2 linked regions of the Mus musculus genome follow. The protein of the gene in region 2 binds, or shares a complex with, the protein of the main gene of each other region. Links are inferred from orthologs where the notes say so. Each region holds a gene or a part of one and is shown on either strand. Other genes may lie near its edges. The genes, in order: Sh3bp2 and Tnks2.

What was found.
Region 1: the proteins of Tnks2 (region 2) and Sh3bp2 are in contact, whole or in part, in a crystal structure (PDB 3TWR), measured with the Homo sapiens proteins. The link is inferred for Mus musculus from reciprocal best matches to the Homo sapiens genes TNKS2 and SH3BP2. Residues at the interface, in NP_079511.1 of Homo sapiens: Arg525, Ser527, His531, Phe532, Gly535, Tyr536, Asn537, Arg538, Leu560, Asn565, Ser568, Tyr569, His571, Asp589, Trp591, Phe593, Glu598, Lys604; in NP_001116153.1 of Homo sapiens: Leu413, Gln414, Arg415, Ser416, Pro417, Pro418, Asp419, Gly420, Gln421, Ser422, Arg424.

What each region holds. Positions count from the first base shown.
Region 1 is NC_000071.6:34,545,310-34,556,917, reverse strand, and holds the start of Sh3bp2 (SH3 domain-binding protein 2), read right to left. Parts: upstream 7,343-11,608; 5' UTR 7,286-7,342; coding exon 7,122-7,285; intron 5,358-7,121; coding exon 5,218-5,357; intron 4,182-5,217; coding exon 4,079-4,181; intron 1,462-4,078; coding exon 1,344-1,461; intron 977-1,343; coding exon 906-976; intron 28-905; coding exon 1-27. UniProt on the Homo sapiens protein: Binds differentially to the SH3 domains of certain proteins of signal transduction pathways. Binds to phosphatidylinositols; linking the hemopoietic tyrosine kinase fes to the cytoplasmic membrane in a phosphorylation dependent mechanism.
Region 2 is NC_000085.6:36,830,067-36,841,949, reverse strand, and holds the start of Tnks2 (poly [ADP-ribose] polymerase tankyrase-2), read right to left. Parts: upstream 7,719-11,883; 5' UTR 7,413-7,718; coding exon 7,214-7,412; intron 1-7,213. UniProt on the Homo sapiens protein: Poly-ADP-ribosyltransferase involved in various processes such as Wnt signaling pathway, telomere length and vesicle trafficking.

The sequences.
Region 1 (11,608 bases), on a different chromosome or scaffold from region 2:
AAGCTGTCCGTGTCTGAGCTAGAGTCGCTGGAACCCAAAGCAAGGAGCAAGCAATGAGTACTAGACTCGGTGTTTCCCTTGTGAGCATGCAGGAACACTCCCAACACCACAGCCACACACAGATATGAACATATACAGACACAAGGATAATCCCTCACTTGTGTATGGACAAAAGGATACAAAGGTCATACAGAGAGAGATGTCTGGACATGTATACACATGGACAAACATAGGGGCTAGAGGTTTGGGACGATCTATGGGTGCCACCTACTTGCCCCCACTGTGGTTTCAGCCACCCTGACTGGTCGGTGTTTCAGAACTGGTTCCTCATGTCTATGTCTTGTTTAACCCTAAGGCCAGGAGCTCTGGATTCAGTCCAGGACCCCGGAGCAGGTCCTTGAGGGTGCCCAGCCCTCTCTGGCTCTCAGTTTCACTGACTCCAATAGGATTGACTTATGTTCTCTAGAGAGCCACTGCTGTTTGCCAGGCCACCTCATGGGTAAGGATGCTGAGACCAGGAACACTACACTTCCCCCAGAGACAAAGTGGACACCAGAGAGCCAGGAATCCAACACTGAGCTGTAAATGCTGGGTCTGCATAGTAGGGGAATGGAATAGGCACATACGAGCCCCACACAGGAGTTACAGATAAGTACCGCAGGCTAAGACAGAGTCAGAGCTGGAAGACAGACAAGGACAGAGAGAGATGCTGCATGCACACTTGTACATGACTACATAAGCGGCGTGTGCATCCACACACGTGAAGCTTGCCTGGTACCTCCAGAAAAACCTTTATGGAAGTGATTATAAGTCTAGTCCCCAGGGACTAGAAGGGAGCCCTAATTGCCAAGAAGCCCTCGGGACAACCACCCACCCACCACATCCCTCCACATCCCTCCACAGACCTGGTGTCTAGAGGTAGTTCCTTCTTCTCATGGAAGTGGCCAATTTCCCTGCGTAGCAAGGCCATCCAGCTCTGTGGGTCAGGAACAACCGTAGTTAGTATGTTGTTGCCCAGAATGGAGTTCCACTCCACCCTCTTCCCATCACTGTCTAGCTCTATACAGTAGCCAGCAAGGTCCAGCATAGATCGTGTGTTTCGGACATGAAACCACCCTCATGGGGCTGCGGCTGCCCCCACCCCCCAGCCCATTTCAGGCCATATCCTGTTGGCGTATTCTCATGTGCACAGGCACCTGGCTGCCCATAGACCTCCACCAAGTCTTTCTCTTCAGGATCCTAGCCGCCTGTCTAGAGCTCATGGGAGGTCAGAGCCTCGTAATCAGTGTGGCACTTCAGGCAAGTGCTGCCTGGCTCCTGGGGCCCTGCTACCTGCCCATCACCTTGCGCTCATCCTCAGAGGACGCTGAGAAGAACCATGTTCGGTGCTTCTTGCTGATGTGAATGATCTTGAATGGGAAGACATTGTTGGACGTGGTCTCCTCAGCTGCTCGCATCACTCTGAGGGCACATTGCCAGAAGTCACCAGCTTGTCCACTCAAGAAATGGGCTTATCAACCCCCGTGGCTGGGCTTTTGCTAATTAGTGGGTTCTTCTTCTCCCACCCTTTATCCCCCCACTCCCGGTTTCACCCACTATCACCAGATAGGAGAGAAAGGATTGTAGAGGAAAGGGGTGGGGAATAGGTCTGAATCTAATTTCTTTTTCCTTGTTTCTTCTTTGAGCACGACTACTAACAAACTGCAACTAACCCCCCCTGAACAACTAACAACCATGAACCCCACCTCTCAGGGACTTAGCATTGATATATCCTCTGAAAAATTCCCAGAATTCCAAAGTCACACAATTGCAGAAACTATCTGAAGCTGGGTAAAACCATGCCCCTGTTAGAGCACGAGGCAAATCATAGTCAGCTGCTGCAAAGCAGCCACATAGCCCCACACCTGGGAGTAAGACAAAAACACAGTCTTATAATATATCTGTGCTTTTTTTTTTTTTTTTTAAAGAATCCAAAATTCCAGAATTCTTACTACAAAGCCCACCCCTGAACTGATTCTAGCACTCAGCATCATGACCTGCGGAATATGGGCAGATCTGAACAGTCTCTGGATGCTTACGATCTCAGAGAATACCTAGATGCTTCAGGGAGTTAGCAGAGTATGAGCTCAGGAAGGTGCTGGGTGTCTGAGGACTTCCCAAGAGAACAGAGTGCAGGACTACAATGCTATAAGGCAAAGAGCCTGGGTACCCTACAGCCCCTGAAGCCATAAGAACTCAAGATGACCAATAAGCCAACACGTAGGCTGTCAGAAGCCACAATGGGACAAGCTAATAACTAGCAGGAGATCATCCTGAAGTGGCCTGCTTTGGATTATTATATAATCTGTGACAGGTGAGCCCTCATTAAGCAAGGCTGTGAGGGACTCACTTTAAGAAAGAGTCCTGCTATTAACATGCTTTTCCTGTTATTATTAAACATATATAACAATCACTAATAGGAGCACACCCCTTTGGAGCAGATCTCTGCAAATCTACGAAGATGTGCTATCTTGTAGTGATGCTATATAGACAAATAGATTACTTAAGTCTTAATGATGATCCTATAAGAATTTCTAAAACTATATCTGTGATTATTAAGCTCTTTTATTAATGGGACTGCGATTAGGTCCTTTTCTGATAGTCAAAGCTGCAATGAGAACTCTGTCAGTCTCCCAAGTGTCACCAGTTAATTGCTCTTAGATGGTAACCAGACTTTCTCCTACTCAGAACACATTCCAAAAGGTTGTAAAACAATTAACCAAAGGTCATACATAAAAAGGGAACTAACGATTTATTATAGGTGCTAGGACAGAAAATAAAATATTGACTGGGTTTATCTATGTAAAACTTCACTGATAACTTAGTTATGGTTTTAAACCTTCAGTGACTGTGGAGCTGACAGGTGATGGATGCTTAGCCAGATAATTACTCCTAATGGATATGCATGTAAACATTCCCTGTTGTAAGCTTCTGTTTCAATTTATGATTTGATTTTTTTGTGTGAACTTTCGATGAACCTTGTAACATATGATCATGTATTCTGAAAGATGTATAAGTACTGAGGACAAGGAGATGAGCGAAATCTATAGAGTAGAATTTTTCACCTTTCCTCACTTAGAGTAGAAATATTTTCCCTTTCCCCACTTAGAGAATTCTTCCCTTTCCCCACTTAGGATCTTTTCACTTTTCCCCTTAGATAGCTTTCATAGGAAACTTTTTACAACTTAGTAATAAATTCTATAATCACTTCTCTAAGTGTCTTCCCTTCCTATGACTTCCGACTATCAGACTTCCAACTGGAAGTTGGAGCCCAGCAGTTCCTGCTGAGATAGAACAAAGACTGCATTGCTTAACCCTCCTCTGTTAGGCTACAGGTGTTAATCACCTAAGCCAGCAGTCTTTTAAGCTCAGAAAGCACAAGAAAGTTTTTAGGACTCTTTAGACATTATCATCAGCATTTCAGTATAATTAGAGAGCTAGAAAGCCCCAGGCCCTCAGACTTTAAAGCTATCACCAGAGTCCTTCTCTGTGACTCTACCACTACTCTGCCCCCGGGACGGGAGGCTCCCGGAAGTAGGCATTAGCTCAGGTTATACCTGCCCTGTCTAGAAGCCCTTGAGGGGAAGGAAGTTCATGGATTCTGGCTATCTGGATCCCAGCCCATAATGTAACAGGGAACTGAACTGGAGCCTGGGAAAACCCTAGAGCCAGAAATTCCATGAAGAGCCTGAGTTTAGGATGGCCTGGGATGGATGGAGTCTGGGCTCCCTGGGAAGGGGTGTGGTGAGTGAGGAGCAGGATCAGAGGCTGAACACAACATTTACAGAGTGGTCATTGAATGGGAACTCAGCAAAGTAAGCCACTCAGGCCCTTGGTACCTGAACCCCCAAGAAGCTGCTAGTAAAGACCTCACCCCACACATACTGTCCCACCCCCTGCCCTCAGCAAAGGCCAGGGTAGGTAGGATAACAGCCAGCAAACAGATGAAGGCCATCTCAGACAGTCAGGGATTGGTTCTGTGGTGCAGGGTGAGAGGGAGGGCATGGGAGGTTGGTGAGCAGACAGGATGGACACTCACCTGTTGTAGCCACTCAGTGAGAAGGCACCCTGTGGGGAGGCAGATGTGCTGCTCTTGAAGTAGTAGATGCAGCGCTTGTGGATGATCACAAAGCGGAGGGGCCCTGGGGACAATTCAGTGGCAGAGGTGAGCCACAGAGCCACCAGTTAACTCTACTCTGAGGAGGTCTCCAGAGGTCCTGGGCAACTTGGAAGCAAACCTCTGAGACTGCAGAAGGTAGAGCAGGGAGCTGAGCTGGTATGCTGCCCCTTCCTTGGACTTTCTTTGGGGTCAAATATAAACAAGTTCACTGGCACATGGGCAAGTTTTGGGGCACCATCCCAGGAAAGGCCTGGCCACAAAATCTGGCCCAAAAGGGGTAGATTAAGGCCTCAAGGGACAGTAAGAAAGGGTGGAGCCTGGACCAGAGGCCTAAGGAGGCCATGGCAGCCTTGCTTGGAGCAATAGGGCTATTGAGGAGGTGAGGACCTGACAGGACAAGGAGAGCAGAGCTTAGGCACCCAGAGCCGGCTGGTGAGAGCCATCGAGGTGGAGCTGTTCTCAGGCTCTAGGGCTCCTGCCCAGAACAGCCCCTCCTAACCCTGGGGAAAGGTTATTTATGGTTCTTCCTTGGAGCACATACATCTATACATTGCTATGCACACAGGGTCCAACAGTCCAGCTAGAGCATCCCAGGCAGGCAACACGGGGGCAGGGCATCCCTGGCAGAGGGCATCCCAGGGGCAAAAGGATGGAGTGTCCATGGCTGATCAGAGCCGGGCAAGGCTCTAGCGCTCTATGCCTTCGGCATCCTGACACTCAGCTGGCTCCTGGCCTGCCACATGGGACCATTCTGTGCCACATGACTCACCACCTCACCCACAAGTCACATGCAAGGCAAAAACAGCACTGAGGGACCAGATCTATCAGGCCACCCTGAGGACCTCCAGCCTTGGCTGCAGACTGAAGCACTCATGACTCCTCAGTTTGCCTGCTATACTATGTTGGATCCTGTGACAAGGTCCAGGGTAAGGAACTCATCAGGTTTCCTAGGTGTGCCAGCTGCTAGAAAAGGAAAAGAAATCTCAGGAGACCCACTAGAGCCCTGGAGAAGCAGAGCCGTGTCCTCCCTTTGAAACTCCCATGATCCAGTGACTCACATTTGAGCAGCTGCAGTTGGGTGCCACCCTTCTTATGCAGGTAACCAGCCTTCGCCACACCACCAGGCATGGTCAGCAAATTCTGGGCACCAATGGCCTTCATGGGGACAGGCCACTGCATCTCCTCAGCCGCCATGAAGCTGCAATTGAAGCAAAAGAGACAGGACTCAGCCGGGAGGACAGCGGGGAACAGTTTGGCAGGGGGTCCTGAGAGGGCATGGCTAAGATCTAGAAGGCAACGTGGAGGGTCAGGTCAGTGGAGGAGGACTCTTCATAAGTCCCCAGGCTTCTGAGTGGGGCTCTGGGGGTGACCATGCCACATAGTCAGTCCCCAATCCTCTTGGCGACACACCTGACTCCAGAATTCTGAGCACAGTCCTTTTACCACCGTGAATTCAGCGAGTTCATGGCCCCAGGAAGGCTGGGGCAGTAATGACTGAACTCAGGAAGCCCTAGCCTGGGCATATCAGGCCTTATGCCATAGCTACCCAAGGTTCCAATGCCTGGGCAGCTCACAAAGTGCTTGTCCTAGAGCAGGGGGCACTGGGGTCACCCCCTTGAAAATGGCTGTTCAAGAGCACTGAGGCAGGCAATGAGAACCTTTTCCATCAGATCTGATCTTCTATGGAGAGAAAGTCAGGTCCTGAGATGTCCACCCTTCCTCAGTAACTTCTGTCTATCCCCACTTTGAAGCCCTGAAGTCAGGTAATAGAAGAGCAAGCCAAGAGCCCCCCACTTCCCAGATTTAATAATTTGGGCTCCAATAGTTTGGCTTTCTGGGGGAACTCCAGCCTCAGTTGTTAGAGCTATAAATTGGGAGCACAGGGTGGACTCTGAACACACACACATACACCTTGTCATCAGTGCCATGAGGACCATTTGGCAGGTTTTCTAGTATCCACATTATCAGCCCAGAGTATCAAGACTCAGAGGGTCCTTCCTGTAAGGAACCCCAAGTGCCAGTCACAATTGCCCCCTAACTTGGCATTATTCTGTTGGTACACCCACTCACCCCATCAGGTCCCTCTTTGGACCCTGAGGCACTGCATGAGGGGAAGGTCAGGGATCTGCTCTCAACAAGGTGGGATGGCTCCAGCCATATCCAGAAGGGCAGGCTGCTGAGATTTCTATTACTATAGTGCCAACTCCCCCAAAAACACACAGAGAAAACCCTCCAGCCCCGGGGTGGCCTACGTCTGAAAGCTCAGCATTCAGAAGGCTGAAGCAGGGAAACCTACTGCATCCGAAAATGAAAGGAAAAAGGATGGAAATCAATTAAGCTCTTGTCAACGGCCAGGCTCACCTCACACCGCCAAATATGTGTTAGAGAATCAAGTTCCGTTGGCTACCCCATACACACACACATCACACACACACACACACACACACACACACACACACACACACACACTGAGAGAGAGAGAGAGAGAGAGAGAGAGAGAGAGAGAGAGAGAGAGAGAGCGCATTAACACTCAAATGCACTTGGTCCATGGTCCAGGCCATTGGTCAGGACCATTGGTCCTCGAACCACAGAACCACAGGCGGAGGTTTGGAACAATGGCGCGACCACACCCCCGCGCAGGGCCAAGGGGAACGCGGGTCCGAGCACAGCAGTGGAGTGCGAGGAGGGTGCCCACTCCCATGCCCATGCCGTGCAAGCAGATGGACAGACAGCGCGCCAGGCTCTCGAAGCCCCCTGGCCAGCCAACTCTGGCTGGCCCATGCTCTCCTTTGTTCTGAGTAGACGCCGGATAGCGCCTGGGGCTCCAGGGACTTTCGGTCCCGGGTCGTGGTGCAGAGGGTGGGGGCCCAGGTCTGAGGAGTGGAAGTCTGAACTGAGTGTGGATGCTCAGAACCAGGGCTGGGGCCCCAGATCCCGAGCCCCAGGCAGGATCAGTACTCACGGTGTCCACGCGGCGGGCACAGCCGGCTTCCGGGGGGCGGCCAGCGCCCGCCTTCCCTGTGAGCAGCGACAGGGTCCCGAGGTGGGCCCACCGGCCGCAGCCTCGTCCCTGGAGCCTGTCTCTCGCCAGCCCCAGCTCCGCGGCCGCGACCCTGAGCCCGCCATAGCTCGTAGAGCCCCAGGCCGGAGCTGCCCCTGGCTCCTCCCCTCGCGGGCGGTAGTGTAAGGGCTAGGGGCCAGGTAAGAAAGCGGACCCGCCCCTCCTTACGTCAGTTTCTCCACCCACTGCACTGAGGGTGGTGGGCTGCAATAAGTGGAAACTTGGAAACTTGTGTCTGTATAATCCAGAATTAAGAGCCATCCAGACAAACAAGGAAGCCACCAATGCGAATGAGGAAGTCACGCTCATATTCCCAACATCTGAGGATCCCGAAGTCCCCGCCTGCTGATCTCCACCCAGTTTGCACCTTGGATATGAGCGTCTATGGCACCCTACTTCCTACGCTAGTACCCCATCATGTCACCTTGCCAATGTCCACTCCATGGGTCTCCCTCGGGACGGAATTCCTCCAAGGAGTGAGCCAGCCCTTGGCAGCTCTTACCTACTTGGGCTTCTTTGAATACCTGTCCCAGAAGAGTGTTCCTGGATGCCTAAGGCTGGTAAAGCCCTGTTGACTTCCTAGGCATCCTTCCTTCTCCATCTCCCATCATCACACAGGCTGCCCCAAGATGGACTATCTGTGGCAGAAGGCAGCACACTTGCCCTTCAGAGGCAACTCTGGTATATTCCTCAGGCTTCACTCCCACCAACTGTCTATTCTAGACTCTTCTCCCTGGTGTCCAAGTCTCTATATTAGGCAAGCTCTCCAGGCCCCTTCCTACTATATGCAGCCTTGACGTTCCTACAGCTTTCTCACTCCAAGAGTCCGGCTGCCTGGGGCATTGGTTTCTGGAGGAACATCTTACCCAGAACACTAAGCTGCCTCCTTCTTCCAGCCACCCTGCATTACAGATCCCCGTCTCTACTGCTTCTGAGCAGGCCACACCTCTCCCTGCCTCCCCCAATTTCCCTTCCTCACCTTCCAGCCAACACACCATTCCCATCACATCATTATTCTAAATGCCATGGACACAATCCTGCCGGGGGGGGGGCATTAAAGAGGGTCTCACTCTGTAGCCCTGGCTTGGCTCTACCTTGGCATCCTCCTGCCTCAGCCTCCCAAGTACTGGTATTGCTGCTGTACACTATCACACCTGGCAACACTCTAGCACTTCCTAATCCAGCCCTACCTCTACTTTCGACCTTTTAGATGTGCTTTGCTCTGCTGTGCACAGACTCTGCTCACCCAAGCCCACAAGAATTCACCTTAGTCCAGGTTGTTTCCACTGCCTGCTGCTGCAAGTAAAGTAATTTAGCCATTAAATATTAGATTCCAAGAGCACTAGTCATATACAAACTCGCAGAGCAAATCCAATGAGGCCAGCATCACCTCAATACCCAAACCCAGATGAAGCTGTCACAGACACGAAAGCTACAGACCAATAAGTCTCTGAGGATTTCTGTTTGTGTATCTTTTTTATGACAGAATAGCTCGGGCTGGCCTTGAACTTCTGATTTCCCTGCTTCCATATCCTAAGTTTGAGGATGACCACATCTGGCTTAAGCAGTGTTGAGGACTGAAACTAGACAGGAGTCTACCAACTGAGCCATATCCCCAGCCCCAAATCCCCTTCTGGGCACAGCATAAACATTCTCCACAAGATGCTAGCAAACTGAATCTAACAGCACATAAAAAAATACAATAATAAATAAATCTAAAAAGAAAAAAGAAGGGAAGAAAGAGAGAAAGGAAGGAAGGAAGGAAGGAAGGAAGGAAGAAAAACAGCAGAAGGGAACTCTCTAAACCTAACAAAGGCCATCTAAGAAAAGCCTACAGCTATTACAGCCGGAAGTAAAAGGCCGAACATTTTCAGTTTCCTGAAAGGCAGGAACAAGGCAAGGATCCCATTGCTTCTTTTCAACATTGTATGGAAAGTGTGGCCAAGGAAAGTATATAATAAAAAGAAATTGAATGTCAGGCTGGACAGGCAGTCAGTGGTTAGGAGCCTGACTGCTTTTACAGAGGATCCAGCACCCACAAGGAATCTCACATCTGTCTGCAGCTCCAGCTCCAGGGGACTTGATGCCCTCTTCTGGCCTCTACAAGCACTACATACATTTGCTGTGCAGACACAAGTAAATCAAGTGTCCAGATAAGAAAAACAAACAAACAAAAACAAAACCTAAGCAATGATTACATGGCTTTATGTAGCAAAAATTCCAAGGAAGTTATAAATTATCAGGACTAATAAGTGGGTTTTGCAAGGTAGAAGGATGTGCTAGCAACAAGTCTGGGAACAAATGAGGTTCAGCATTCCCTCTTCTGAGTACCCATGAATAGTAGCTGGTCCTATGTCCCCAGCCTGGGGCTAGTGACCCAGCCTTCCTTCCACCTGACACTGGCCATAGTAGGTTATCACTATCCCCCAAACTTACTTAGCCTGCAGGCCCTGCCCAGAGTGGGAAGCCAGAGTGCCCAGAGTAAACTAGACAGTTGCTTCTGGTGGGTAGTTGGTCTGAGGATTGTGGAAGGGAGCTGAAACAGAGCCCTGCTCTGATGTCTGGAGCTGCTGCAAGGAAAGATGTGCCTACCTCCCCCTGGCTGCATGTTTGGGTGGGGTTGGGTGCAAGAGTTAAGCGGTTTCAGCCCCATCTTGTTTCAACTCAGTGGCCAGCAGGAGACAGCCTAGCTACCACCTTCCTGTGGGCAGAATGAAAGCTTGTGGGCGGCCATTGAACACCTTGCTGGAGAGGATGTCATGAGAGCCAAGTGATACTCTACTTCATCTCTCCTAGGAACGTTCGCACTTCAGAACCGGAATCACAACCCCTCTCCAGATAAGCCCTGCCTGACACCAGGTGACCCTGCTCAGGAACCCAATACCAATCTAAGCTAGGAGCAGAAAGAGGATGTGCCACCTGGGGGGTGGGAGGCGGTTACTACCATGCTTTTCCTGGAGAGTTTTAGCTCAGCCTACAGAGTCCAGCGCCACCTGTGCCTGGGAAAGCTGGAGAGAAACTAAAGAACTCCTGGCTCGCCTGTGAACAGAATGAAGACTCTTAGCCGCCCACTAACCAGACTAGCCACCTCAGTACCCACAGCACCACCCCGGACCCAGGGACCTAATAGCACAATTCAACTCAACTGTCAGGGAACTGACAGTTCATGGAGCAGGGATGCCCAGTTCCCTTCTCTGTAGGAACAGCAACCTTGGTGGGCTGAGCCACCGTGGATGAGAGTTTTGAGGGATAGTATGGAGACATAAGTTCAAACCCCACTTGGCCCTCATCTTCCAATTAGGAAGTCCCTATCAGCAGAGGAGGCATGGAAGAGCCCAGTCCCCTGATAACCTAGCAACAAATCCCCTCCCTCTGTAGGAGGCTGGGGTAGCAGGGTCAGGACTCATTTGCTAGGCTCATTCTGTTTTGTGGATCCTTTTGCTTGTAGCTGCAGGCCTCTCCCCGGCCCCACACCAGACCTTTGCAAGTCAGTGGTTGTGGCTAAAGCCCATGAGACCACGTAGAAGGTGTGAGATAATTGTTTGCATGTGTGTATGTGGACATGCATTTGAGCCTGTAAGTTTATGTCTGTGCTTGCATGCACACCAGGAAGGCTGGACACCTGCCACACATCCTCCAAGTCAAGTCTCTCTGCTTCTCTATACATCTTCCTCCCTCCCCTTCTCTCATAACTGGTCTTGATTCAGGTAACACTGTTTCCAGAGGCTGCTAGAGGATATGGACTGGGCCACTCAATAAAAACCACTCTGTGCCACAAAGTCAGCCAGAACAAGTTCTGTGGCTTGTGCCTGCCCTGGGACCCTGTGAGTCTGCAGAGGTGAGTGGTCATCACCTGCAAGGGTCCATACATTCTTGGTGGCTCTGCACACCTGGTTAACATCACAGGTGTTACATTCACACAACATACATGTATGCACATTGATACATGTGCATATATACATGCATATATGAGCCTATCCATGAGCCCCCGACACCTGTGGATATGTCCCTGCCTATGTGAAGCACACTTATTCCTGTGATCAAGCCGGACTGCTCTTTGTGAAGCTGCAGGGTAAGGCGGGGGTGGGGGTTCTAGCCCAAGGAAAAGGAAAGCAGGTACCACTGGGGCACTTGTGCATACATATGTTCTCATGTACACACATATACACATAATCTCAACTTAACCCTCATCTTACACATATACATGCACATATACTCATTGTGAGGGTTTGAATGAGAATGGCCCCCAAGTGGTAGAACTGTTTGAGAAGGATTAAGAGGTGTGGCTTTGTTCTAGGAGGTGTGTCACTGGGTGTGGGCTTTGAAGTTTCAAAACCCCCACGCCATTCCCAATTAGTCCTTTCTGCCTTGTGCTTGTCAATCAGATG
Region 2 (11,883 bases):
AACTGCTTTTGGTCATGGTGTTTTATCACAGTAATAACCCTAACTGAAACAGTAGGTAAGATCTGGTTCTGGAAATGCTTAGTTAGAAGTGCTCATGGGGGGTTGGAGATGGCTCAGCAGGTAAGAGCACTGAGTGCTCTTCTGAAGACCCTGAGTTTAAATCCCAGCAACCACATGGTGGCTCACAACCATCCATAATGAGATCTGATGCACTCTTCTGGAGTGTCTGAAGACAGCTACAGTGTACTTACATATAACAATAAATAAACCTTAAAAAAAGAGAGAGAGAGAGACACGCTCATGGGATAAATGCCCAGTTAAGTAGCAGTTAAGTAGTAGGTTCTGTGGATCCAAAACTCAGGAAACTGGTCCAAGCTGGAGATAGTTACTCTGGAGTACTATGAAGCCAGACATGAATATTAATGAAGCTAATTAGAGAACACTGATATCCTATTATATTTTGGGAAATATATCTAAGTCCCTTCTCACTTTCTCAAGACCTCTGCTCTCCCTGTCCTCCATCAACCTCTACCATTTATCTCTATTAGAGAATTCCCTAGAGTCCATCCAAACTTATTTCTTCCACTCAGAAAGTCTTCCTCCTGAACTCACATCTTCAGCTCTGATACTGCATAGTTTATCTCCTCTTCTTTTCTCAAATCCAGCCAGCTTCTGCTTCTTTCTCAGAGTTGCTTTAGACAAGGTCACTTACAATGCCATATTCCCAAATGCAAAGGACACTGTCTGTATTTGACTAGATGTGCCAATAATATTCAACAGCTCACTACTCCTTCCTGCTGGAAATACTTTCTCCAAAGAGTCTGAGGAGTCATGATCCTGGCCTTCCTGTCCCATTTAAACACTTAAAAATTGTAAAAAAATATCAACTATGTTAGATACTTTTCTGGTATATATCATAAACCAATAAGTAAACTAAATCTCCGCTTAAAATATATTTTGTGCCGGGCGGTGGTGGTGCTTGCCTTTAATCCCAGTACTTGGGAGGCAGAGACAGGCGGATTTCTGAGTTCAAGGCTAGCCTGGTCTACAGAGTGAGTTCCAGGACAGCCAGGGCTACACAAAAAACCCTTTCTTGAAAAACCAAACCCAACCCAACCCAACCCAAAGAAACAAAAAGATCAGAAAACTTGAAGACCACACAAGTCTGACTTTTTTAAAAAAGAAGAATACTGTGGAAAACGGTTTTAAGCTGTTAAGTTATGACGTGACACGCTCCTCTGGCTGATGTGTTGAGCGCTACTAGGTAAAGTAGATGAGATTATGGTGGCTTGTATTATAACTGAGTTGCTCAGATTGATGAGTGCCACATTCTGGATACTCTAAGGTGAGATGAGTCAGCATAGCTTCCCAATGGGTGAAATGTGGGGCAAGAGTAGGGTGAGGCGGTAAGAAAGGGCAAATGTGAGAGAGAATGATTGAGGAGTCATAGATGACCGTGAGGTTTGGCCTGAGGAACAGGGGTCATCAACTGAGATGTGGGAAAGCTCTCTAGTGAGAGCTGATGTCCTGGTGCTGGAAAGATAGCTCAGTGGTTAAGAGAACTGGCTGCTCATTCAGAGGACCTGGGTTCAGTTCCCAGAGCCCACAAAGTGGCTTAGAACCATCTGTATGTAACTGCAGTTCCAGGAGATCTGACTCCCTCTGCAGCACACTTGTTGCACAGACACACACTTAGCAAAACACCTATACAAGAAAAAAAAATACAAAACACCAAAACAAAAACCCCTTAATATCTCAGGAGCTTGTCTCCTCTCCCCAATATCTAAATACTGGAAAATTCTGTGAGATTCCAAGTTTTCTTTTGCCCTTTTAGATGATTGTATCTATCCCTGTGGCCTGCATATCACATAGATACACAGTCCATAAACTGGAGCCTGCAGTCTAGACTTGTTACCTAAGTTCTACAATGTTTCACCTCCACCCTTCAAAAGCATCTTTAACTCAACATGTTCTCAGCTTTTCTACACTTCACTGACACCCCAACTTCCAGCCCTCAACAGTTTCCTTCAGAAATGGCCCTTTCATTTCTACTCTCAACAGCCTATAAAAAACAAACATCATAGGCCAGATGTGGCAGCCCACACCAGAACATTCTTTTGTAGATTTTCTTCTTTGTCTGTCTCTTTTTCTAATACTATGATATAATATAACAAACTGTTAGACACCACACACTGTGAAGAACACTTCCTATGCTGGTTAGTTTTTGGTCATGTTGACACAAGCTAGAGACATCTGGGAATCAAAGAAAACACCTTCATCAGACTGGCTTGTAGAGTGCAGAGGGTATTTTCTTATTTTAATTTTTTTCCTCCCTTTCTTTTTTGAATTTTCCAGACAGGGTTTCTCTGTGTAGCTCTGGATGTCTTGGAATTTGATCTATAGACCAGGCTGGCCTTGAATTCAGAGATCTGCCTGCCTCGGTCTTCCAAGTGCTAGGATTAAAGGCATGAGCAACCACTGCCCAGCTGTAGGGTATTTTCTTGATTGATGATGAAGGGCCCAGTCCATTTGGATAGGTGGTTCTGGGTAGTGTAAGAAAGCTATCGTAAGGAGCCATATAGAGCAAGCGAGTAAGCAGCACACCCTACAGCTTCTGCTCTAGTTCTTGCCTTCCCTTCCCTTCCCTTCTTGAGTGACTGTGATACAGAAGTGGAAGCCAAATAAATCCTTTCCTCCCAAGTTGCTTCTGGTTGTGGTGTTTTATTATCACAGCAACAGAAACTAGAATACTGGAGAAACAGTGATGAACAAAGATATTTATTCATGACCCTTTCACTTCACAGAATTCAGAGTCCTGGATCTCAGTGCTGTGTCACCTGTAATTAATCTCTGTCCTTTGGAGGCTTAAGGATTACAAATATAAAGGGAGCTGGTTCTTAGTGAGACTATGCAAACAACAACAACAGCAACAAAAACCATACCACAAATACCGCCACCCACAAAAACAAAGCAAACTAACAAACCAAAAAAATAACATAGCTCAGTAATTGTCTATTTAAAAGTCACCACCCTGCTGGACGGCGTACACCTTTAATCCCAGCACTCGGGAGGCAGAGACAGGCGATTTCTGAGTTCGAGGCCAGCCTGGTCTACAGAGTGAGTTCCAGGACAGCCAGGGCTACACAGAGAAACCCTGTCTTGGGGGAAAAAAAAAACAACCCCCCCCCAAAAGGCCACCTGTAAGCAGCCTCCATTTCTGCCGCCTGTTATCATCTAACACTGGTTGGCTGTCTCTCTTCCTTTGCTAAGATGAAAGCACCATAAGAGCAGGGACTGAGCCTTTGCTCTTCATACCAGTGTTTCGGCGTTTACCAAAATGTGTAATCTAATACACGGGTTAGTAATCTCCTAGTCTGTATCACTCATCTTTCTCTCTGTACAGTGTCTCAGCGCCTGGCTAGCTTTAAATTCAAGCTTATCCTACCTAGTCTCCTAGAGCTGATTACCAAACCCAGCTCCTGGATGCTAATTCCATAAGGGACAAGGACTGTGAATGTCTTAGTTTCCTGGAGTCCTTCAGAGGATGAGACATTTAATAGTTGTTGATGTTTGCTTACTATACCCCTGTATTAGAAAGCTAGAATGGTACCAAGAAGCCATGAAGGAAATCTTCAAGGAGACAGTAAATTACTGCTATGAGGTCTTCTCTTGCCATCCATCACCTCTTGGCATTCATGTGTCCTTTGTTCTACTATTGGCCCTCTGCATCTTTTAGAACCCACCTGGAAGAAATGCTTTTAGAAAAGGCTTCTTAAATTGCAGAGTAAAAGAATCAGAATAAGGAAAAATTAGTTTAGTATTCTTCTTCATTGTAAAATCATTTAACATATGTACTTTTAGAAGAATGATTCCCATCTCATCACAGGTAACAAGCATTCATAAAGGTGGTTATAGAAAGGCCAAAGTCTCCCCCAAAGAAGAACTTGGTGAAAAAGAAAAGAATCAATTCATATCCTGCATCTGTGTAGTTGGAGGCAGGGAAAAGAAGAGATGGAAGAGGAAATCTTTTCTGTGTAACTGTTTCCTTATAAAGATTTCTTAAAGATCATATCAGAAGTATGTAACCTAGCCCAATAATAAAAGGCAGCTAACGGAAGAAAAATACCCATTTCTGTAATTATCTTTATCACTAATGGAACTTAATTCCTCTAAGGAGTGACAACTGATTAACTAAATTAAGGTTGATTTTTAATTTTTTCTTTGGCCAGGATGGAAATACAAAACCCTTTTTCCTTCTCTGTAGCATGAATATATCTTATTCCTACTGACAAACCTCTAGACTCCTTAATTAAACCTCTAAACTTTAACTGGCTATTTTAATAATTTTTTTTCTCAGCACTAACTCTTTTTTTTTCCCCGAGATAGGGTTTCTCTGTGTAGCCCTGGCTGTCCTGGAACTCACTTTGTAGACCAGGCTGGCCTCGAACTCAGAAATCCGCCTGTCTCTGCCTCCCAAGTGCTGGGATTAAAGGCCTGCGCCACCACTGCTGGGCTCTTTTTTTTTTTTTTTTTTTTTCTCTAAAAGAATGAATTCTCTATAAAATAAAAACACAAGTAACTGCTTGGTCAGGCAATTATCAAGTACCACCACCTGCAGAGGAGGATCCAAAAGTATGCTTGCATAAACACAAATGGTAACTCACAAAGAAAATGCTAGTGAGCAACTTTACTTAAAAATAAACAGGGCTGGCAATATGGCTCAGGGGTTAAGTGCACTGACTGCTCTTCCGAAGGTCCCTGAGTTCAAATCCCAGCAACCACAGGGTGGCTCACAACCATCTGTAATGGGATCCAATGCACTTTTCTGGTGTGTGTCTGAAGATAGCTACAGGGTACTCATATAAATGAAAATAAATAAATCTTTAAAAAAAAGCAAAAAACAAAAAAACCAGGGCTGATTGAGACTATAGCTCAGCAGGTGCACATATGTCTAGTAGGGCCAAGCAAGGTTCTAGTTCCATATCCAGAAAAGGAATAAATTCATTAGTGATTAGTGCCACATTAATCTAATAATTTGGATTTTAAAATTCACAAAGCCATTTTTTTTAAAGCTCCTTATTTTTTTATGCAGGGTTTAAATGTAAGACTCTTAAAACTGTGACTTAATATCAATTCTTTAGTGATTATTTTTCTGTGTATATGGTAGGCTAGGTGTATCTGCGCGTGTGAGTGGGTGGCAGGGCAGGCATCTTCATCGATGGCTCTCCTCCATCTAATTTTTGAGACAGGGTCACTGCACTGACCCTGGGGCTCATGGCTTTTCAAGTAAGTCCCACGGATCCTTCTGTCTCCACCTCCTAGTGTGGGGCTATAAGTGTGCATCAACAGAACTGCCTTTTTACGTGGGTGCTAGGGATCTCAACTCAGGCCCTCCTGTTTGCAAGGCAAGCAAGTACTTTATCCACTGAGCCATCTCCCTAGTATCTTTAGTAATTATTTTATGTTTTCCTTTTTACATTTTAACTTCTTAATTTTACAACCTACAACTGGCAATATAGGTGAATTTTGAGTGGTGAATTGCTCTCTATAATATTTAAATTCCCATTTCAATCTGGAGAAACAATATAAAATACATGTAAAATATTCCTTAATATGTTGAGGCAGGGGTAGGGTCTAATCTACCTCATTCAGAGGCCAGAACACTTGTCTGGCATGTGCAAGGTCTTATATTCCATCCGTGTGGGTGGGGGAGGGGCATACTGGAGCAGAGCTGAGGGTGGGATGGTGTGGGAGCAACAAGGTCACACCATAAGTCCCCAACCCGCACCTCAAAATACTACTATTTTCAGACATGAACTCACTAATACATTAAATTCTTGAAAGGTGGCAACTAAGATCGACCTTGGCTATTTTTATCAAGCGTACATAATCTAAGTAACATTACCCCTTTGGATTATCTAGCACTTGGTTGTGACCATTTGCCAAATAGGTTGGCTAAATGGTCAAGCAAGACAATTCAAACTAGCTGAAGCAAGGCAACACTGCTAACAGAGATTTGGCTTCATGCTCTCACTTCTCAGTGCCCACAGGCAAATTTCTCTTCTGCCCAATTGTGGTTTTCCCAAACTTTTCCCTTGCTCCCAAACCGGCAATCAATTAAGGAGGCATGATTTCTGACAGTACATACATTTTAAAATAGGGACAGGTCAAAGCAAACAGACCTACAATTGGAAGAACTGTAAAATCAATGCCTGTAAACAAACAAACAATAAATCTTTTTTTATACTCTTTTGTCTACCATTTTTGCCCCTAAGGAACACAAGAAACTAAAATTTTTTTTTAAATATAAAGAACTGCTAAACAATTCTGATGCACACTGTATCAAATGTTACCAGGCTAAGAGGATCTTATTTGATTATGAGGTTAAAAAGTTACAAACTGTCCTTAACATGAATAATCATTAAGTTGGTTCCCATCCCTGGCCTTTTCAAATAAATACCTCAACAAGCAAACTTCAACACGCTGGTACCACAAAGAGAACCCAGTAGTTAAAAGTAACTCCAAACTATCTACAATAAATCTCAGGATGACTCAAAATCCTAGATCCAAGCTCAAGTGCGTGTCCTATCTTGTCTCTCAGCTCACTTTCCATCCCGACTTGTGCGGGAGTAAGGCAGAGGCCACCCACACACAACCTAAGTAGATCTCAGGTCTCCCAAACATGCCCATTTCCGGTTTTAGTCTCTCCAGAAACCTAATCCAATTAACTCTAATGAGCCAATAGCTAATAAAATAACTCCTAAATTAAAATTTCAGTTTATGACGGCCGCTAGAACTTAAGGGGTTACTAAGAGTGTCGATGAAACTTGCAAACATGGGTCCATTTTTTGGAGATAATTACTCTTTCAAATCACAAGGTCTACTAAGCCTTTCTTGTGTGCAGAGGCCCTCCGGGGTAATAAGACCGGAAGTCGGGGCAGGTATTGTTGATACAGTAAAACAAAACAAAGCTTCCCCCCTCCCAGCACACAAACAAACAAACAAACAAACAAAAAACCCCATAACCTCAAAAACAACTTCCCGAGAGCACGCTCACCCCACCCTCATCACGAGCCCCGAGAGAGGAGGGCGGGCGGCCAGGGTGAGAGTCCTGGGGAAAGGTCGGAGACAGGGCAGCGCCGCGCGGCTTGCGGCCTGCAAGCCCGAGCCTGCAGGTGGGGCGTGCGGGAGGCGCCGCGGGGCCCGCGTTTACCTGCGGCGAAGTGGAGCGGGGTGGACTTCCTGCCCGCCGTGTCGCGGCTGTTCACCTTCTCGGGCGTCACCAGCCTCTTGACTCGCTCCACGTCCCCGTTGCGGCAAGCCTCGAACAGCTCGCGGGCGGACGGCTCCACGGCCTCGGCCCCGGCGCTCGCGCAGGCCGCGCCCCCGCCGGCGCAGCGGCGGCCAGACATGATCCGGGCCGCCGCCGCCGCCGCCAGCAGCAGCGCCAGCAAAGGCAGCAGGAGCCCGGGCCCCGCGAGCAGGAGGGCGAGGCCCCCCGCAGGAGACGCGCTCAGGGCCCGGGCCGCTCCGCTCCCCGCTGTCACCAGAGTCGGCACGGTCCCATGGCCGCGTCGCCGCGCGCCCCCGGCTCGGCTCCGTGAGCCCCGGCTGCCCCACCGCGGTGGAGGCAGCGCGAACCCGCTCGCCGAGCCCCGAAGCGACGCGACGGCGGAAGCGGCCGAGACCACTCCTGCCAGCTCGGTCGGGTCCTGGGAGCGCGCGTGACGTCGGCTCGCGCGTGCGCAGTGGCTGCTCTCCGGCCGGGCCAGTTTGGGCAAGCGGGGCCGCGCGGAGGGGTTTGTGGGAAATGTGCAGGGAGAGCCTTTGGCTGCGGAAAGAGAAGGGGCTTCGGCCCACCGCCATCTTTACAGAGCCTCTGCTAAAAACGAGAGGTCTTGCTGCCTTTTCTTTTATTAAAGCCTACACTTCTCGAGACGAGTTTCATTGCTCAGACACCGAAGACGAATCTTGGGAAGTTTTGTTCTGATTATGCATTTTCTTGTGCAAGTTTTAGCGTGAAAATCTCTGCAGTGTTGCTTCCGTACCTTCCCCCTGGGAGATTTCTCACCCCTTCCCCCTCCTGCCTTCTTTACAGTGTCTCTTCCCTTAACTCTCCGCATCTGCTTTTGTTTTTCTTATAAGCGTTTTCTCAGAAATGAATCCGTTACGCTTACTGAGAAGTTTGGATGAGCGGCCCCCAGATAAATCAAGAAAGCGAAGAAAGTTCATCTCAATTCTAAAGCAACAATTGGGGGGTGGGGTGGCTGTGATTAGCTCCGCTTCCCATAGTAAATTATTAGCTCAGCGCTGACGAGGATCTATACATAAATCAGCATTGCACCGGATGTGGTCGAGGTGCTGATACAAAGCATACACATCAAAGTTTTCCGAAGTTTCTCTCTCTCTCTCTCTGATCAAAGAATACAAGTGCACAATTCATTTTCGTGTTTATTGTGTTTTATTAAAAAAAAAAAAACAACAACAACAAGGATGTGTTTTGTAGAGCCAGGTCTGGTAAGGTGGGAAGGATTCCTGGGCAGGCCCATGCTGAAACATCCCTTTCTTACCCCTGAGGTACCAGCCATACGGGTGTAGTGTAGAATCGAGTTTATTTAGGGCATGGGAAGGGGAGTAGAGAAGAGAGTAGAGGCAGAGAAGGACAGAGGAAGAGAGAAAAAGAAGAGAGGCCGGCCAGGAACACGTGGAGAGAGACGGGGGAGGGGGGATGGGAGAGAGGGAGAAAGGGGTTAGGAGAAGAGTCTGAGAGAGAAGGGGGACAAACAGCCAGGCCTACCTGGCTGTTGCCAGGTAACTGTTGGGCGGAGCCTGGAAAGAATGTTAGCTGTGTTTAAGGTAGTAGTGACATCTTGTTTCAGGAACCCGAAAGAAAGGAATACAGAGATTTTGCTTGCAAGAAAGTGCTGACTTTTGGCACGCTGACAAGCATTTCCCCTGTGAATTACTTAACCTGTTTTTCAGGAAATCCAGTTTTTGTTAGGGAGCGTTGACTCACTTCTGTGGGAGAAAAGCAGGGACACTTCTTGAGCATTTTAGTAAATGTACCTTCTTATATGTTTATTCCATTATGTTCTTAGACTACTTAGTGTAAATTTAAATTGATCCCTATTACTAAATAACTATTCATGAATATACCTAAGGATTAGAACCTTACTACTATGATTGTCTCATTTTTCTTCATTTCATCGACTTGCCAAATATATTCCCAATTTTTATAATTTTTTATTTAGTGATTTCTGCTTATGTATTTCCTCCCAATATGTGTATCTAAACAACATCATACAGCATCACTTACTCACTGATCTATCTCCTCAACCCTAACTGTTTTTGTTTTTTTCTTTTTTTCTTTTTCGAGACAGGGTTTCTCTGTGTAGCCCTGGCTGTCCTGGAACTCACTCTGTAGACCAGGCTGGCCTTGAACTCAGAAATCTGTCTGCCTCTGCCTCCCAAGTGCTGGGATTAAAGGCGTACAACACCACAGCCCAGCCTAACTTGTTTTTAAAACACTTGATTACTAGAGAAATGAAGTTAACAAAGAAACCATATTAGGATGGCTGTTCTAAAAGCAAACAAACAGCAAACAACAAATGTTGGTGAGATGGACAAATTAGAATCGTTTTGGCACTCTTAATGTGATCATAAAATGTGTATTATTACAGGAAACACTTGGTAGTTCCTTACAAAACTAAACATTGGGACTGGAGAGATGGTCTAGTGGTTCAGGGCACTGTTTTACTTAGGACCTGAGTTCAATTCCCAGCAGCTACAAGGTGGTGCACAATCATATAGCACCAATCCTGGTATCTGTGGCCCTCAGCAGGCACAAACATGGTGCAGACAAAACACCCAACATAAAATTAATTAAAAATTAATTAATTAAAAATTTCAACATAAAGCTACCATCTTCTCTACTTCTGGGTAGATATAGTCAAATAGTTTGAAACCAGGATCTCAAATCGTTCTGCAATCGTGTTCATAATACAATCCTCACAAAAGCAAAGAGTTATAAACAATCCAATTGTTCCATGAATGGATGACTATGAAATGTGATGAATGCATATCAAGGAAGAACATTCAGGCTTCAGGAAAGAAGGAATCTTATCTTGTGCCCCAACATAGGTGATTACTGAGGGCATAATGTTAAGTAAGAGAAGCCAGCTTACAAAGACAAAACGGGTTCACTTGTATTCCTGCAGAGAGCTGCCTTAGCAAAACACCACAAAATAGATGTTTTAAATTCCTTTAAAAAAAAAAAAGTGGGGCGTGGTGGGGTGCACGCCTTTAATCCCAGCACTCGGGAGGCAGAGGCAGGTGGATTTCTGAGCTCGAGGCCAGCCTGGTCCACAAAGTGAGTTCTAGGACAGCCAGTGCTACACAGAGAAACCCTGTCTCGAAAAACCAAAAAAAAAAAAAAAAGAACAATATGAACTAACCAGTAGCTCGTGTCTCTAGCTGCTATGTAGCAGAAGATGGCCTAGTTGGCCATCATTGGGAAGAGAGGCCCCTTGGTCTTGCAAACTTTATATGCCCCAGGGCCAAGAAGTGAGAGTGGGAGGGTAGGAGAGCAGGGGGCGGGGGGTGGGGTGTGTATGGGGGGACTTTTTGGATAGCATTTGAAATGTAAATGAAGAAAATACCTAATAGAAAATTGGAAAAAAGAAAAAAGAAAAACGAAAAAAAAAAGTTAGATCAAGATGTTGGTTGGTGTTTTGGTTTCCTCAAAACCCTTTTCCTTGGCTTATAGATGGCTACCTCCTCACTGTACCTCACTCGATCTTTCCACTACATGCACATCTTGTTTCTTTAGTAAAATTAAGCTAGATAAGCTAGCTGGGAGATAGCCCAAGCTAAAGACCTAGGCTTTTTATAATTATTAATAAGTCATCTCTTACTCTTGCCTTCTTGCTCCCACTCTGTCCTCTCACCCCTTCCCCACCCCACGCCCTATTCCCCTCTCCCCTCTCTTTCCACGTGCTCATGATTGGCTGCTTCTTCTTCTTCTTCTTCTTCTTCCTCTTCTTCTTCTTCTTCTTCTTCCTCTTCCTCCTCCTCCCTCTTCTTCCTCTTCCTCTTCTTCTTCCTCTTTCTCTCTCTCTCTCTCCTCACATCCCCCCTTTCTCTGTGTCTACTACCTTCTCAACTCCCCTCCCATGCCCTGAATAAACTCTATTCTATACTTTAAAAAAAAAAAAATTGGGCTGGTGAGATGGCTCAGTGGGTAAGAGCACCCGACTGCTCTTCTGAAGGTCCAGAGTTCAAATCCCAGCAACCACATGGTGTCTCACAACCATCTGTAACAAGATCTGATGCCCTCTTTTGGAGTGTCTGAAGACAACTACAGTGTACTTACATATAATAAATAAATAAATCTTTAAAAAAAAAAGAAAAAATTAGTAAGTCCATGTGTCATTATTTAACTGCTGATGGGTTCAGAGAGTCCTATTATAGAACCTGATTCATACCATAAGATTATAAAGTGGACAAATTGACAGAATAATTGTTAGGCATTGGGGAAGGGATGGAATGGGACTATTTAATGATCATAGAGTACTTACTTAGGGTTTCTATTGCTTCAACGAAATGCCATGACCCAAAAAGCAAGTTGGGGAGGAAAGGGTTTATTCAGCTTATACGTCCACAATGTTCTTCACCACAAAAGAAGGTCAGGACAAGAACTCAAACAGGGCAGAATCCCTGAGGCAGGAGCTGTTGTAGAGGCCATAACGGGTGATGCTTACTGGCTTGCTCAGCCTGCTTTCTTAATAGAACCCAGGACCACCAGCCCAGGGATGGCAGCCCACAATGGGCTGGGCTCTTCCCCATTGGTCACTAGTTGAGAAAATGCCTTACAGCTGGATCTTA